Oryctolagus cuniculus: one gene and its partner. The protein of the gene in region 1 purifies or fractionates together with the protein of each later gene. This does not show direct contact. Links are inferred from orthologs where the notes say so. Each region holds a gene or a part of one and is shown in the gene's direction. Other genes may lie near its edges.

Region 1 (7,335 bases):
AGAAAAAGTGTTCAGACTGCACCGCAGGAGTCCCGCTCCTCTGAGGTGGCAGCGCCAGTGGGCAGGAGTGACCAGACAGGAAAACCAAGAAGGCAAGGGGGCAGAGTTTCAAGTAAAGGCAGGTGTCAACAGAGGAAAATGCTACAAAATCAGTTACCAGGGCTCACTGCAAAAATAACAAATATTTGTGGGATGAATGAAAGAACGGAAGGAAGGCAGGAAGCCCTTGAGTTGCCCATCCACTTTCCTCAGTCAGAAGAATGGCCCGGGCTGCCCTCCGACACCGGGGTTTCGGAGTTAAGTCTCACCCCTCCATCCTATGAAAACACGTCTCTTCCGCCACAAGCCATCCTGTGCACCGCACAGACATCCTTCCCTGCCTCCCCGACGGTTTCCCATCCTCCTTCCCGGCTTCCGCGTCGGAGCAGGTGGGAAACTGAAGTTCCCACTTCATTCACAACTCTGCGTCCGGCTCCCCTTCCACCAAGGGCTATGTGGCAACGGGCAGGAGGAGCACGCTGGCCGCCAGCCCCACTCGCACGGCTCACTCGCTGTGTGACTTTGGACAAACCCGCCAGCCTTTCGGGACCCAGCCTTTTACTCAGAGCGGAGGAGGCGGATCTGTCTGGAACCCAGACAAGTTTCGGCGCTCCTCCGAGCACTACAGTCTATGATTTTATCATTCTCAGAAGGTCCTTGCAACACCCTCGGAGAAGGAAGTGAGACCCAGAATGACCGCCGGCCCTCTCCGAGGGGCCGAGCGCCAGGACTGAAGGGGCGCACGGCGAGAGTGAGACGGCGCGGCCGGTCCCGCGGATCCCCAGAGGGCGCGGCCCCCTCCCAGCGCTGGCGCGGAGCCCCGCAAACCCGAGGGCGCCTCTCGCTCCGCACCCCACCTCGCCACAACTCCCAGACGGCCAGGAGGCTCTAAAAAGCCCTGCGGGGGGAAAAAAAATAAAGATTTCTTTCCCAGAGTCCTGCGCTGCTTTTGCAAGTCGGATTCCGGCAGACGCGATCCGCAGCCCGAGAATGACACAGTCAGTCTCGGGAAGGAGCGACCGACCGTGCCGAGTCGTGGGGCCGCCCGGCAGTTCGCGCCGCGCCCCGACGGGCAGGCGTCCGACCCCGGCCCGGGCTGCCAGGCCGCCGGCGCCCTCGCCCCCGGCCCTCCTCCCCGCGGCGGCCCCGCTGCGGTCTGCGAACATTTCCTGCCCCCGCCCCCACCGGCCACCCGGAGCTTCCCAGTTGGAGCGAGTTGGTCTCGCAGCCCGGTCGGCGTCCCCGGCCTCGTCAGGCTCGGAGCTGCGCTGGGAGAGCCCAGGCGCCAGGGGCCGTGGGAGGTCGCGCCGGGAGCCCAGGGCCCCGGCGAGCAGGGGCCGACCGGCGAGGTGCCCGTGGCCCTGCTCGTTCCCCGTGGTTACCTGCTCGCTTGCGGGGGTGTCCTGGGGCGGCTGGCCTCTCCCCGCGCTGTCTCCCCACGCAGTTGCCCATGCTGGCTCCTCAGCCGGTCCCCATGCACCGGAGGCGGCGGGGTGGTCGGCTGCTCCGCGCCCCTGCCCCGGACGGCGGCGTCCCGGGTCAACGGCTCCTGCCGCCCGGCATCTGACGCTCCGGATCTCCCCCCGGGGGGGCGCGCTCTGCCCCGGCGCCGGCCTCGCCACAAACTTTGCGGACCCGGGGAGGGAGGGAGGGAGGTGGCCGACTCCCCTGCTCAGTCCCAGGTGGCCGGGCCAGGGGGGCCCGCGACGGTGCCCGGCCGGAGACCAGCCCCGCTGAAGGGGCGGAGAGAGGGGGCGGGCACCGCCGCAGCTACTCCCGGCTCGCTTGGGGCTCCCAGCTGGGGCCGGCCCCCCGCAGCCTGTCACTCACCTGCCTAACCCCGCCCCAGCCCGGCCCCACTCCCTTCCGCCGGCTCGCGGTGCCCGCGCCGCCGCCGCCACCCGCCCCAGGTGCGCATGTGACCGACGGCACCGCCCCCTTGGGCCGGGCCTGATTTTCTCATTGGCTTCCCCCAGGGTGCGTACCGCCCCTCGGCCCCACCCAACCAGGTGTCCTCCCCGCAGCCCGTCTCCCGGGGAGCCGGGCCGGGAATTATTCGCCCTCAATGGCCCCCGACTGCGTGCCCAGCGAGCCGCCTTCGCTCTCCGCGCCACCGCCCCGGCCCCAGGCCCCACCCCTCGGGGAGGGGCCTTCCCTCCCCTCCTCTACCCTCCCCTCCCTGGAACTGCCCGATCAAGAGCTGGCGGCCACGTGATCCAGGGAGCGCCCCGCCCCCGCGGCATCCACCCAGCGATTGGCTCAGGGGGCGCGTGCGCAGACAAGCCTGTCTCGCGCCTCCGCCTCCTTCCCCTCCCACGGTCGCTCGTTAGCGTCATGGCCGCCGCCGCCGCTCCCCAGGAGGCGGCGGCGCCTACGGGCCCCCTGTGGGGACTCGTGCAAGACTTCGTCATGGGTCAGCAGGAGGGCCCCGCTGACCAGGTGGCTGCAGGTACGGCAGACAGCGCCGGGCCCCTTCCGCTTGGGGGCCGACAGGAGGGAGCGGCCTCAGCACAGGCGCGGAGCGGGAAGGGAGTGAGGGGCAGGATGACTTTGAGAGATCAGTCTCAGGGCTGCTTAGTGAGCATCGAGCTTAAGAAGCGTAACAAGTTGGAGAGTCGCGCGCATCTTCCATACAGCGCTTTTACTCTCGACGTCTCCTCACAGCCAACGGTAGACCGTCATTACATGTCACTGACGAGGAGACGCAGGCCCGGAGAGCTGCGGCGCGGGCGGGAGGGGAGCTGGGGCTCAGACTCGGGAGTTCAGGTGGCTCGGGCTGCCGGCTCCGGGAGACCACATTGTTTGTGGAGATTGACGTGGGGAGGTGACTGCTGGGCGCGTCCGCTCGCGGCGCGCGGCATCTTGGGAGTGGCTGTAGTCGGAGCGAGCCGAGCGGCCAGTCGGGGCAACTGGAGGTGGTGTCGCATCCGCCTCTAGACTTTCCCTCTGTGTCTTGGTGAAGTTCTTGATTACTTTTGCATCGTGACTTTTGTGCGGCATTATTTTTATCTTTTTCCCAGATCCCCTGTCTCCTCTGCTTTGGACCTGTTCAGGGAATCTCTTAGTTCTGGCAGTTTGTTAAAGATTGGAATAAAAATCCTAGACTTGCTTGGGTTCTGAGACTTAGCTCATTTAGGGAAAAAAAAAATCTAAAACTTTCAACCAGTCATTCCACCATTATTGAACACGGTCTCCAAAAATGATGCAGAGCAGGACTATAAATACAAATTAGATCTGTGCCCACCAAGAACTTGCAGTGTGTGTGTGGGGGGGGGGGGGAGAGACAGCCATGCTATAAGAGGTAAATGCAAGGTGGTCTGCAAACATCACACAGCAAATGTCTGATGCTGCCCCTATTTATTTTTTTATTTGAAAGGCTGTTACAGAGAGAAAGGGAAAGATAGAGATTGATTGAGAGATCTTCCATCTATTGGTTACCCTCCAAGTGGCTGCAATGGCCCGGCGCTACCGAAGCCAGGAGCCTGGAACTCCATCTGGGTCTCCCATGTAGATGGCAAGGGCCCCAGCACTTGGGTGATCTGCTGCTTTTCCAAGCACATTAGCAGGGAACTAAAACAGAAATGAAACAGCCAGGATACTGGTATCACAGGTGACAGTTTAACCCACTGTACCTCAATGCTGGCCCCTAAACTTAACATCTTTGTTGCTCCCCCTCTTCGTGGAGGAACGACACAGGACCCTGTGCTGTTCTTTTCATCTGCTCGGCCCTCCCCGGGTTTGCTGCTGGTTCTTCCCGGGTTGGCTACTATCCCTTCCACCTCCGTGGAAGGGCAGTTCCCCCTGGCCACATTCCCCACTTCCGCAGGGGAGCGGCACACCGCCGGCCGGCTTTCTCGGGGGCTGCACGGGTTTTCCTTCAGCTAGATGTTCCCCATAGATGTTCCTGGTGCATGCCGTCTCTCTCCTCCTTTATAGTCCTCCTCCGCCAATCCTAACTCGGCTGCCCACACGCCGAGTACGCTGCTCTCCTCCAATCAGGAGCAAGTCCTACAGTTTATTAGTTGAACTGGAGGCAGCTGCGTAGAAGCTGTTTACTTCTCTCCCAGCGCCATATTGTGGGAGAGCAGATGCATAGAATAAGTCCTAATTCCAGTAACTCAGTCTAGTCCGGTTGCTCCCCACAGATCCCCCTTTCTTTTTATTTTTTGGCGTTGATACGCGCCTGTCTTCGGTGTCCCGCGGCACACACTCTGCTCTACTTGCTAGAGTTGCCACAGGCTCTTACAAGTCCTATCAATCAGGCAAACCGAATCCGGGTCCTCTCTTCGCCATGTTGTGAGGAGGTTTTTAGGCGCTGATGCGTGCCTGTGTTCGGTGCCCTGCAGCGCATGCTCTGGTCGAGCCTGCAGGGGCTTACAAGCCCTATCAGGCAAACCGAATCCAAGCCTTCTCATTGCCGTATTGTGGGGGAGACTTATTAGTGTTGGTTCGTGCCTATCTTCGGTGACCTGCAGCTCATACTCTGGTCGAGCTGCTTGCTGGTGCTTACCGCCTTAATTAGGCAGACCGAATCCAAGCTTTCTCATTGTTGTATTGTGGGGAAGCCTTACTGATGTTAATTCGTGCCTGTCTTCGGTGACCTGCGGCGCATAAGCTGCTAGCCGCCGCAGGTGCTCATCGTGCTCATCGCCTCACTTAATCAGGCAGACCGAATCCAAGCTCTCACAGTGCAGTGTTGTAGGGAGGCCTTTCTATTTCTCTATTTCTCTATCTCCGGGCATTCCTATTTCTCCCATTTTACTTCTATCTTCCAGCATTCCTATTTCTCTCACTTTGCTTCTAAACTTCTGTTTCTCTTATCCCCGCAGCTTCCCGCTGCCCGCCCCGAGGCTACTTCTCGGCGGCTTCCCGGCTGAGCCGCTTCAGCCCGCGCCTCTTTCATCTGCGCAGCTTCCCGGCTTTGCGCGGCTTGGCTTCGCGCGCTCCGCGGTCTCCACGCCCTTTGCGTCTGCACCACGGCCTCGCGCCAGCCCCGTTCCCTATCTATTCACGCCCCGTGCTCTCTCTGCACGCGGCGGCTTCCGCGAGTAACACAGCGTAGCTTACGTGTCCGCCACTAGCATTCAATCTAAGTTCCCCGGGCTAGCCTGGCGAATTCAACCCAGCATACGTCTCCGCCCCACGATTTGGCTTCCCGTCCTTTGCTCCCCGGGCTAATCAGACGGATCCCAATCTGGCTTACGTTTCAGCTTCTGGTTTCAACTTTTCGCCCCCCATTCCCGGGCTAACTTGAGAATCCCAAAGTGGCTTTCGTGTCCGCCTTGGCCTGCCCCCCACGGCTTCAATTTCCCTAACATTTTTCTCTACCCGGTATGTTTCCCCAAACTTTCCTCCAACGATATTCCTCCCTCATTTCTCCTGGCCTCTCCCCACAGTCCGCGTCCGAGTCTGTTTGTTCTAGCTTTCACTTTCGACCTTAGAGATTTCTCCCAGCTTCCCCCCGTAGTCCGTATCTGAGTCTATGCCTAGGCTTTCAACAGCTTCTTCCGGCACCCTTTTCGTCCGGCTTTTCCCTAGGCTGTTTACTAGTCTCTCCTCCGGTATTTTCCCAGTTCTTCCCGTTTCTTCCCTCCTAAGTTTCCTATCCGTCCTAGGTTTCCTATCCAAGCTAGGTTTCCTATCCGAGTCACGGCACCATCATGTCGCTCCCCCTCTTCGTGGAGGAGCGACACTAAACCCTGCCTAGGCTTCATATCCGAGTCACGGCACCATTATGTCGCTCCCCCTCTTCGTGGAGGAACGACACAGGACCCTGTGCTGTTCTTTTCATCTGCTCGGCCCTCCCCGGGTTTGCTGCTGGTTCTTCCTGGGTTGGCTACTATCCCTTCCACCTCCGTGGAAGGGCAGTTCCCCCTGGCCACATTCCCCACTTCCGCAGGGGAGCGGCACACCGCCGGCCGGCTTTCTCGGGGGCTGCACGGGTTTTCCTTCAGCTAGATGTTCCCCATAGATGTTCCTGGTGCATGCCGTCTCTCTCCTCCTTTATAGTCCTCCTCCGCCAATCCTAACTCGGCTGCCCACACGCCGAGTACGCTGCTCTCCTCCAATCAGGAGCAAGTCCTACAGTTTATTAGTTGAACTGGAGGCAGCTGCGTAGAAGCTGTTTACTTCTCTCCCAGCGCCATATTGTGGGAGAGCAGATGCATAGAATAAGTCCTAATTCCAGTAACTCAGTCTAGTCCGGTTGCTCCCCACAATCTTTTTTTTTTTTTTAAGATTTTATTTATTTATTTGACAGGTAGAGTTACAGAGAGTGACAGAAAGGTCTTCCTTCCGTTGGTTCACTCCCCAAATGGCCGCAACGGCCGGAGCTGCGCCGATCCAAAGCCAAGAGCCAGGAGCTTCTTCCTTGTCTCCCATGTGGGTGCAGGGACCTGAGGACCTGTGCCACCTTCTACTGCTTTCCCAGGCCACAGCAGAGAGCTGGACTGCAAGAGGAGCAACCGGGACTAGAACTGATGCCCATATGGGATGCTGGCCCCGCAGGCGGAGGATTAACCTAGTGTGCCACGGCACTGGCCTCTAAACTTAACATCTTAAAACTCTACAATTGGGGCCGGAACTGTGGCATAGTGTGTAAAGCCACTGCCTGCAGTGCCAGCATCCCATATGGGTGCCAGTTTGAGTCCCGGCTGCTCCACTTCTGATCCACCTCTCTGCTATGGCCTGGATAAGCAGCAGAAGATGACTCAAGTCCTTGGGCCCCTGCTCCCGCGTGGGAGACCTGAAAGAAGCTCCTGGCTCCTGGCTTCGGATCAACACAGCTCCAGCCGTTGCCATTGCTACCAACTGGGTAGTGAACCAGTGGATGGAAGACCTCTCTTCCTCTCTCTCTGCCTCTCCTCCTCTCTCTGTGTAACTCTGACTTTCACACAAATAAATAAATCTTTAAAAAAAAAAAAAACTATGAAAAGTGTACTATGTTAACAGTGCTTACAATTACAAGTAGTGTTATCAGTGTCATTTTTCCCAATGTTTTAAAATTTTCAACCATTTAGCAGTCTATAAAGAATTTTATAAGGAGCACACATACTCTCCAACTAGATACTTCCATTAATACTTTAATAGAATTTGCTTTATCAAATGTCTATCATCCATTTAAATTGTAGATAACCACTTAAGTTGCAGATATCAATACACTTCCCTCTAAGTAACTTGAGATGCAGATCATTGACCAGAGTTTATCCGTATAGTTTGGTGTAAAATTTAAATCCAGTGAAGTACACAAATCTTAAATGTACATTCACTGATTCTAACAAAGGCATCCACCTGTCT
Region 2 (7,537 bases), about 28 Mb from region 1:
TGGTGTAGCAGGTAAAGCCACTGTCTGCAGTGCTGGCATCCCATCGCCAGTTCAAGTCCCAGCTGCTTCACTTCTGATCCAGCTCTCTGCTATGGCCTGGGAAAGCAGTAGAAGATGGCCCATATCCTTGGGCCCCTACACCTGTGTGGGAGACCCAGAAGAAGCTCCTGGCTCCTGGCTTCAGATCAGCACAGCTCTGGCTGTTGTGACCATCTGGGGAGTAGACAGGTGGATGGAAGACCTCTCTCTCTCTCTCTCTCTCTCTCTCTGCCTCTGCCTCTCTGTAACTCTGCCTTTCAAATAAATAAATCTTTAAAAAAAGAAAAAAGTGAGTCCCTGCCACCTATGTGGGAGATCTGGATGGAGTTCTGGGCTCCTGGCTTTTCGCTGGCCCAGCCCTGGATGTTGTGGGCAATTTGGGAGTAAACCAGCAGATGGAAGATATGTCTCTGTCTCTGTCTCTTTTCTCTCTTGCTCTGCCTTTCAAGTAGATGAAAACAAATCAAATTATGCATTTTGTTCATCCATTTATCTGTTTATGGGCACTGAGTTTTTTTAACTCTTCGTTTATTGTGAATAATGACACTCTGAACATAGATTTACAATTCTCTGTTTGAGTCCCTACATTCAATTCTTTTGGGTGCAGATCCAAAAGTTAAATTGCTGTCTTGAGGCTGGTGTTGTGGTATAGCAGGTTAAGCCGCCACCTACAAAACTGGCATTGCATATGGGCACGTGTTCAAGTCCCAGCTATTCCACTTCCAGCTCTGTTAATGCACCTGGGAAGGCAGCAGAAGATGGCCCAAATACTTGGGCTCCTGCCACCCACGTGGGAGACCCAGATGGACTTCTGGGCTCCTGGCTTTACTCTGGCTCAACTGGTTGTTGCAGGCATTTGGGTAGTGAAATAGCAGATGGAAGATCTCTCTGTCTCTTTCTCTCTGCGTAACTCTGCCTTTCAAATAAATGAATAAATCTTAAAAAAAAAAAAGTTGCTACCTCATATGGTAATTCAGTGTTTATTGTCTTTGAGAAACTGCTGTCCTTATTTATACTCTTTAGATTTATTCTCATTTTCTTTCAAGTTCTTTAGGCGCCATCTGCTGCTTCCCAGGTGTATTAGCAAGAATCTGGATCAGAAGTGGAGTAGCTGGGGCTCCAACAATTGGCACTCCGTTATGGAATGTGGGTTTCCCAGGCAGCTGCTTAACCCACTGTTAACAGCACAACAAAATTCTTTTTTTTTTATTTTATTTTATTTTATTTTTTTGACAGGCAGAGTGGACAGTGAGAGAGAGAGACAGAGAGAAAGGTCTTCCTTTGCCGTTGGTTCACCCTCCAATGGCCGCCTTGGCCAGCGCGCTGCGGCCGGCACACCGCGCTGATCCGATGGCAGGAGCCAGGAGCCAGGTGCTTTTCCTGGTCTCCCATGGGGTGCAGGGCCCAAGCACCTGGGCCATCCTCCACTGCACTCCCTGGCCACAGCAGAGAGCTGGCCTGGAAGAGGGGCAACCGGGACAGAATCCGGCGCCCCGACTGGGACTAGAACCCGGTGTGCCGGCGCCGCAAGGCGGAGGATTAGCCTAGTAGCCGTGGCGCCGGCCAAAATTCTTTTTTTATTTAAAGATTTATTTTATTTATTTGAAAGAGTTACAGAGAGAGGTAGAGACAGAGAGAGAGAGAGGTCTTCCATCCGCTAGTTCACTCCTCAGATGGCTGCAATGGCCAGAGCTGCACCGATCCGAAGCCAGGAGCCAAGAACCTCTTCCGGATCTCCCACGTGGGTGCAGGGGCCCATGTACTTGGGCTATCTTCTGCTGCTTTCCTAGGAGCATTAGCAGATAGCTGTATCTCAAGTGGAGCAGCCGGGACTTGAACCAGCATCCATATAGATGTCTCCAGCGCAGGTTGTGGCTTTACCTGCTAAGCCATAGTACAGGCCCCAATCTAACATCTTTTAAAGATGGGAGAAACTGGGTCCTATTAAAAATGTGGTAGCAATCCAGTAGTGTGGGTGAGGTTGATTACAGGAGAGAATGAGGGAGTAACTGAAGCAGCAATGCCATGGACAGTGCCAGAAGTCCGGGGTACGGGTTGGGGGAGTAACCATTTCTGGGAGGAATACGTATTCACCATTGCGAAAAAGTGTGGAAGGGTCGTTAAGACGGGTGCAGATCTTGGAAGTTTTGTGGATTTCGTCGCTGTGTTACGAGGGAGTTCCTATCCAACGACTTCTCTTTTTCTCAACAAGTTTTCCAGCAAAAAAAAAGAGATTGTTTCCCCGCGGATGTGAAATTCCAAAGGCCAGCACAGGCAGCTGGTTTGGGCGAACTCCAAATGCTGCTGCTCAAACCAACAGCGTGTGTCTGGCTCGGGCCCGAGCTCTGAGAGCGACGGCCTTGCGCTTTTAGCCTGGGCCGGGTATGAAGACTCCGGTTTTGCAGGCCTGGGGCCAGGAGGGCCTCAGCCGGGCAGGTGCGGCGCTCCACGTGTAGCCGCCGGCGCTGCCGGGCCCGCCCCGCGCACGTCACTCGGGGCCTCGGCGCGCCGGCGCATGCGCCCTTGCTGCGCGGACGCTCGCCCCTTTCCCGCGTTTTGGCGGTTTTTGTGTTGTTGCCCGCCGTCCCCCCTCCCCTGAGGTTCCCCGGTGACAGTCTGTGGTCTCCGCGCCCGGGATGGAGCCGCTGGACGAACTGGAGCTGCTCATGGAGAAGACCTTCGGGGAGGAGGCCGCGCCGCCGCCGGAGCTGTGAGCGGAGGCGCGGGGAGGCTGTGGGAGCGCAGCGGGAGATTTGAAAGTCGGGAGCGGGAGAGACCGCCGCGGCCCCGGCTCGCACCGGGGACCCCGCGTCGCGCGGTGCTCTCTGCGGGCGCACTCGGCAGCTGAGGCTTTCCCTTGATTTCGCCTCTTTGCCGAATGTGGGGAGTCCCGGCCTCCTGCGGTAGTGTCTTCGTACGTCGATGGTTGCTTGGTTGTGAGACTAACGTCAGGGAGAGCTCCGAGCCCTCGGCTTAGCCGCAATGGCGGGTGTCGGAAGGACAACCAGGCTAAGCAGTGCCTGCGCCTGCGGTTCTCCGTCTGCACCTTTTGCAGAGACCATTAAAGCCTCGCGGCCAGCCTTGGGCTGTTCGTGGGCTGCAGCCAGGTGGGGTAGCCTAGTGCAGCGTTCACAGAGCCGTGCAGCCTTCCGTGAGCGAGCTGGGTGGCCTGTAGCGTTACAGGAAGGCTGTTCGGTACACGCCTTGCGGGAGATAATGGCTCTGGCCTCTCGTTTGGCCCCACACCGGTTAACACCTGCTGTGGTCGAACAGAGAGGACTTCAGAGGGACTTACTAGGAACAGCGCGGGTTTCTACAGGAGAATTCTTTTGTAGAGTTTCAGGCGGCTTGGACAAGTGCGTAAAAGGATTACCAAATTCACTGGCCCTTTATCAGTAAAACATCTGGTTATTCTATGAACGAGTGAGCTAGTCTCGACGGGTGTGACAAGCTTGCTTTCCCGACCACGCAGGGACTAGCCCCAGGTTTATAAAAGTATTTCCTACCCTAAGTTCTAGGTTGGGCTAGACGATTTCTAAGCAAGCTCCTGACTTAAAGACGAATGTAGTTCTGTGTCTCAGGATTTCCAGCAAACCACACCTACCATGCTTACCTCTCATCTGTAAGTCACCCGTACGCCTCACAGCACAGAGAATAGTGTACAAAACGTCTTGTACTAATACTTTGGAAAGGCTTGCTCCAGTGGTAGTCATTGTTTAATATTTTCCATTTTTTTAAGGCTACTTATTTATTTTGAGAGGTGGGGTTACAGACAGGGAGAGGGAGAAACAGAGGAAAAAATCTTCCATCCACTGGATCACTCCCCAAATGGCGGCAATGGCCGGAGCTGAACCGACCCTAAGGCAGGAGCCAGAAGCCTCTTCCAGGTCTCCCATTCGGGTGGCGGGGCCCAAGCACTTGGGTCATCTGCTGCTGCTTCCCAGGCCATCTGCAGGGAGCTGGATAGGAAGTGGAGCAGCCGGGACTGGAACTGGCGCCCATATGGGATGCCGGCACTGCAGGCAGATGCTTAACCTACTACGCCACAGCACTGCTCCCCTCCCCATTTGTTTTTAATCCTGACAGTGATAGATGGTCCACAAAACTCATAGAGGTTAAATTGGAAAAGCTCTTAGCATAAGCTTGTTTTAAAATGGCATTGCGTCTGGGAAGTTTTTATAACAGGAGTTCTTTGCTGTCTTAATTTTACCTGAAGATCTTTGTGAAGAAGCAAACCTAGAAAGCTAGACAGCTGCTTTACAGGTGAAACTGGTTGAGTGGCTTGTTATTTCATGTTTGTGCTAAAATTGTTTTGTATGTATATGTTTTAGATTTCAGAACAAGGTGGAAGCTTCCTTCCCAAAAACAGTCTTGAGCCGAGGAATGGATAACCGATACCTGGTGTTAGCAGTCACTGTTGTACAGGATGAAGAAGGCAGCCAGGAAAAGCACTTAATCATCACTGCTTCCCAGTCGCTGGAAGACAAAGAACAGTGCATCCTTAGGAATGGCTGGTAATTTTTTGTGTGACTTTGAGCATTGAATTGGCAATCTTCAGGGTAGCATCTTAAAACCCATCACATGGCTTGTGTGGATGTTCCTATAATTTAATGGTGTAAAAAAGGGATAGCTTAAAATAGTTATTTATTTGACAGAGAACTTCCATGTACTGGGTCACTCCCCAAATTCCCACTCATCTAAGACTGGGCCAGGCTGAAGGCAGGAAGCTAGGAGCACAATCCAGATCTCCCATGTGGGTGGCAGGAATCCGATCGCTTGTGCCCTTACCACTGCCTCCCAGGGTCTACATTAGCCAGAAGCTGGAACTAGGAGTCAAATGGTGGTACTGTGATGTGGAACATGGACATCTTAACCACTAAGCCAAATGTCTAATTCATTAGATTTAGTAGATTTGAACCTGGCTTAATTTTACATGAAAATTGTATCTATTACCCCAACATCTGTAGACTCTTAATTCAAAAATTTATTATTATTATTATTGGGAAATCAAGTGAAGGTTGAGTATCTCTTATCCAAAATACTTGGGACCAGAAGTATTTCAGATTTTGATTTTGTCATATTTAGAATAGTTTCACATACATAATGAGATCTTGAGGGTTTGACTCAAGTCTAAACACAAAATCCACTTAGGTTTCACATACCCATAGCCTGAAGGTAGTCTTTTTTGTTTTTTATTTAAAGATGTATTTTATTTATTTGAGCAAAAGAGTTATAGACAGAGCGAGGGAGAGACACAGAAAGGTCTTCCATCCGCTGCTTCACTTCCCAAATGGCTCTTGCAGCTGTGGCTGAGCCGATCTGAAGCCAGGAACCAGGAGTTTCTTCTGGATCTCCCATGTGGGTACAGTGGCCTAAGCACTTGGGCCATCTTCTACTGCTTTCACAGGCCCTCAGCAGGGAGCTGTTTCAGAAGTGGAGCAGCTGGAACTCAAACCATAGCCCACATGGAATGCCGGGCAGAGGTCTAACCCTGTACATCACAGTACCGGTCCCTGAGGTTATTTATCTATCTATTTTTTTTCTTTTCTATTTTTTCTTTTGATTTTGTTTATTTGTTTGAGAGATATAGACACAGGGAGAGTTAGAGAGAAAGGTCTTCCATCTGCTGGTTCAGTCCCCAAATGGTCACAATGGCTGGAGCTGAGCCATTCTGAAGCCAGGAGCCAGGAGCTTCTTCCAGGCCTCACACGTGGGTGCAGGGATCCAAGCACTTGGGCCATCTTCCACTGCTTTCCCAGACCACAAGCCGAGAGCCAGTTTGGAAGAGGAGCAGCCAGGACATGAACCAGCTCCTATATGGGATGCTGGCACTCCAGGTGGGGGCTTAGCCAACTACACCACAGTGCCAGCCCCTGAAGGTAATCTTATACAGTATTTTTAGTGCACGTGGGTTTGACTGTGACCTGGCACACAGGTGTGGAAATTTTCACTTATGATTTCATGTTGATACTCAAAATACATTAAATTTTAGATATTCAGATTAGGGATTCTCAATCTGTCTTAAGGGGCAGTGACTGCAGTACATTCTGTTTTAAGGTTGTTAGTTCTCAGTAACAGCAAAATTAATTGCAATGTAGGAGCAGTCTCAAACCTTAGATGTCTCTACTCAAGATGTGGTGCATGGGAGGTGGGAGGAAGATGCAGAGAAGGTGGAGGCCTAACTTTGTCTTTGCCTTGGCTGTGAGTGAGATTGAACTAAATAAAAGTGATGTTGTTCTTGCTGCACTTGGTTTGGCTTTATACCTCAGAATAAGTGGAAGCTATAGGACTTAAGAATGACAAAATTAATGATTTAAACAACCCAGTTCCTAACTGGATCTATCTATATATTACACTAGCATAGATTTGATTGCTTTTGGAATAGACATTACTAGCACTAAGTAAGTTGCCTCTTTGGTGCTTAAGCAGAATTCTTGCATATTCTGCAGGATGCTTCACCAGGTGAAAAGGGATGGTGCGACTAGGAGTTGACTCAAAAGACTGCATCTTGGTATTTCAGTTTTTAACAAGACCTAGAAACTTAGAAATACTTACTGTTTCTTCAGATAAAACATTCATTAATTTTCAAAGCCTTCTTTCTAGGTTTTAATGTAGGCACTTAAACTATGTGTTTATCCTGTCATTTTGTTTAATTTGCAGGTGTTCTGTTCCAGTACAGCCAGGGGATATCATTCATTTGGAGGGGGACTGTACTTCTGATACTTGGATAATAGATGAAGATTTTGGATATTTGATTCTGTATCCAGACATGCTGATTTCCGGCACAAGCATCGCCAGTAGTATTCGATGTATGAGAAGAGCTGTCTTGAGTGAAACCTTTAGGGTAAATAACATTTGTTTTAATATTTATTTCATTGTACTTGTTTATTTTCCTAAATATCCCCTTTACTTATTTGAAAGGCAGTGACATAGAGAGAACTCTTCCATCTATTGGGTCACTCCCCAAATGGCAGCAATGGTCAGTGCTGGGCCAGACAGAAACTAGAACTCCATCTGGGTCTCCTGCCTGGGTGGCAGTGACCCCAGTGTTTGGGCCATCTTCTGCCGTTTTTCCAGCTGCATTAGCAGGGAGCTGGATTGGAAGCGGAGCATCTGAGAATCCAACAAGTGCCCAAATGGGATACCGCAATGCTGGCCCCTAAAGATTTACTTTATTTATTTGAAAGGGAGAGTGATAGAAGGGGTGGGAGAGACAGAGATTGATCTTCCATCTGCTGGTTCACTCCCCAGATGCCAACAATAGGCAGGGCTGGGCCAGGTTGAAGCCAGAAGCTGGGAACTCTGTCTTAGTCTCCCACCTAGGTGGCAGGGACCCAAGCACTTGGGCTACCTTTTGCTGCTTTCCCAGGTACATTAGAAGGGAGCTGGATCGGAAGTGGAGCAGCCAGGACTGTAACCAGTGCTCTAATATGGACAGCTGGTATTGCAGATACTGTGCCACAACACCAGCCCCAGGGTGAACAATATAAACAGTTAA

The links. The genes of interacting proteins can lie anywhere in the genome.
Region 2: the proteins of MMS19 (region 1) and DNA2 purify together in Homo sapiens (affinity purification with mass spectrometry; 3 studies listed by BioGRID and IntAct, counting the BioPlex papers as one, with this or other methods). This does not show direct contact. The link is inferred for Oryctolagus cuniculus from reciprocal best matches to the Homo sapiens genes MMS19 and DNA2.

The regions. Positions count from the first base shown.
Region 1 is NC_091446.1:32,353,368-32,360,702, forward strand, and holds the start of MMS19 (MMS19 nucleotide excision repair protein homolog), read left to right. Parts: upstream 1-2,312; 5' UTR 2,313-2,373; coding exon 2,374-2,488; intron 2,489-7,335. Other genes in the region: UBTD1 (ubiquitin domain-containing protein 1), read right to left, coding at 1,422-1,491. UniProt on the Homo sapiens protein: Key component of the cytosolic iron-sulfur protein assembly (CIA) complex, a multiprotein complex that mediates the incorporation of iron-sulfur cluster into apoproteins specifically involved in DNA metabolism and genomic integrity.
Region 2 is NC_091446.1:60,348,986-60,356,522, reverse strand, and holds the start of DNA2 (DNA replication ATP-dependent helicase/nuclease DNA2), read left to right. Parts: upstream 1-2,540; 5' UTR 2,541-2,675; coding exon 2,676-2,749; intron 2,750-4,370; coding exon 4,371-4,553; intron 4,554-6,699; coding exon 6,700-6,883; intron 6,884-7,537. UniProt on the Homo sapiens protein: Key enzyme involved in DNA replication and DNA repair in nucleus and mitochondrion.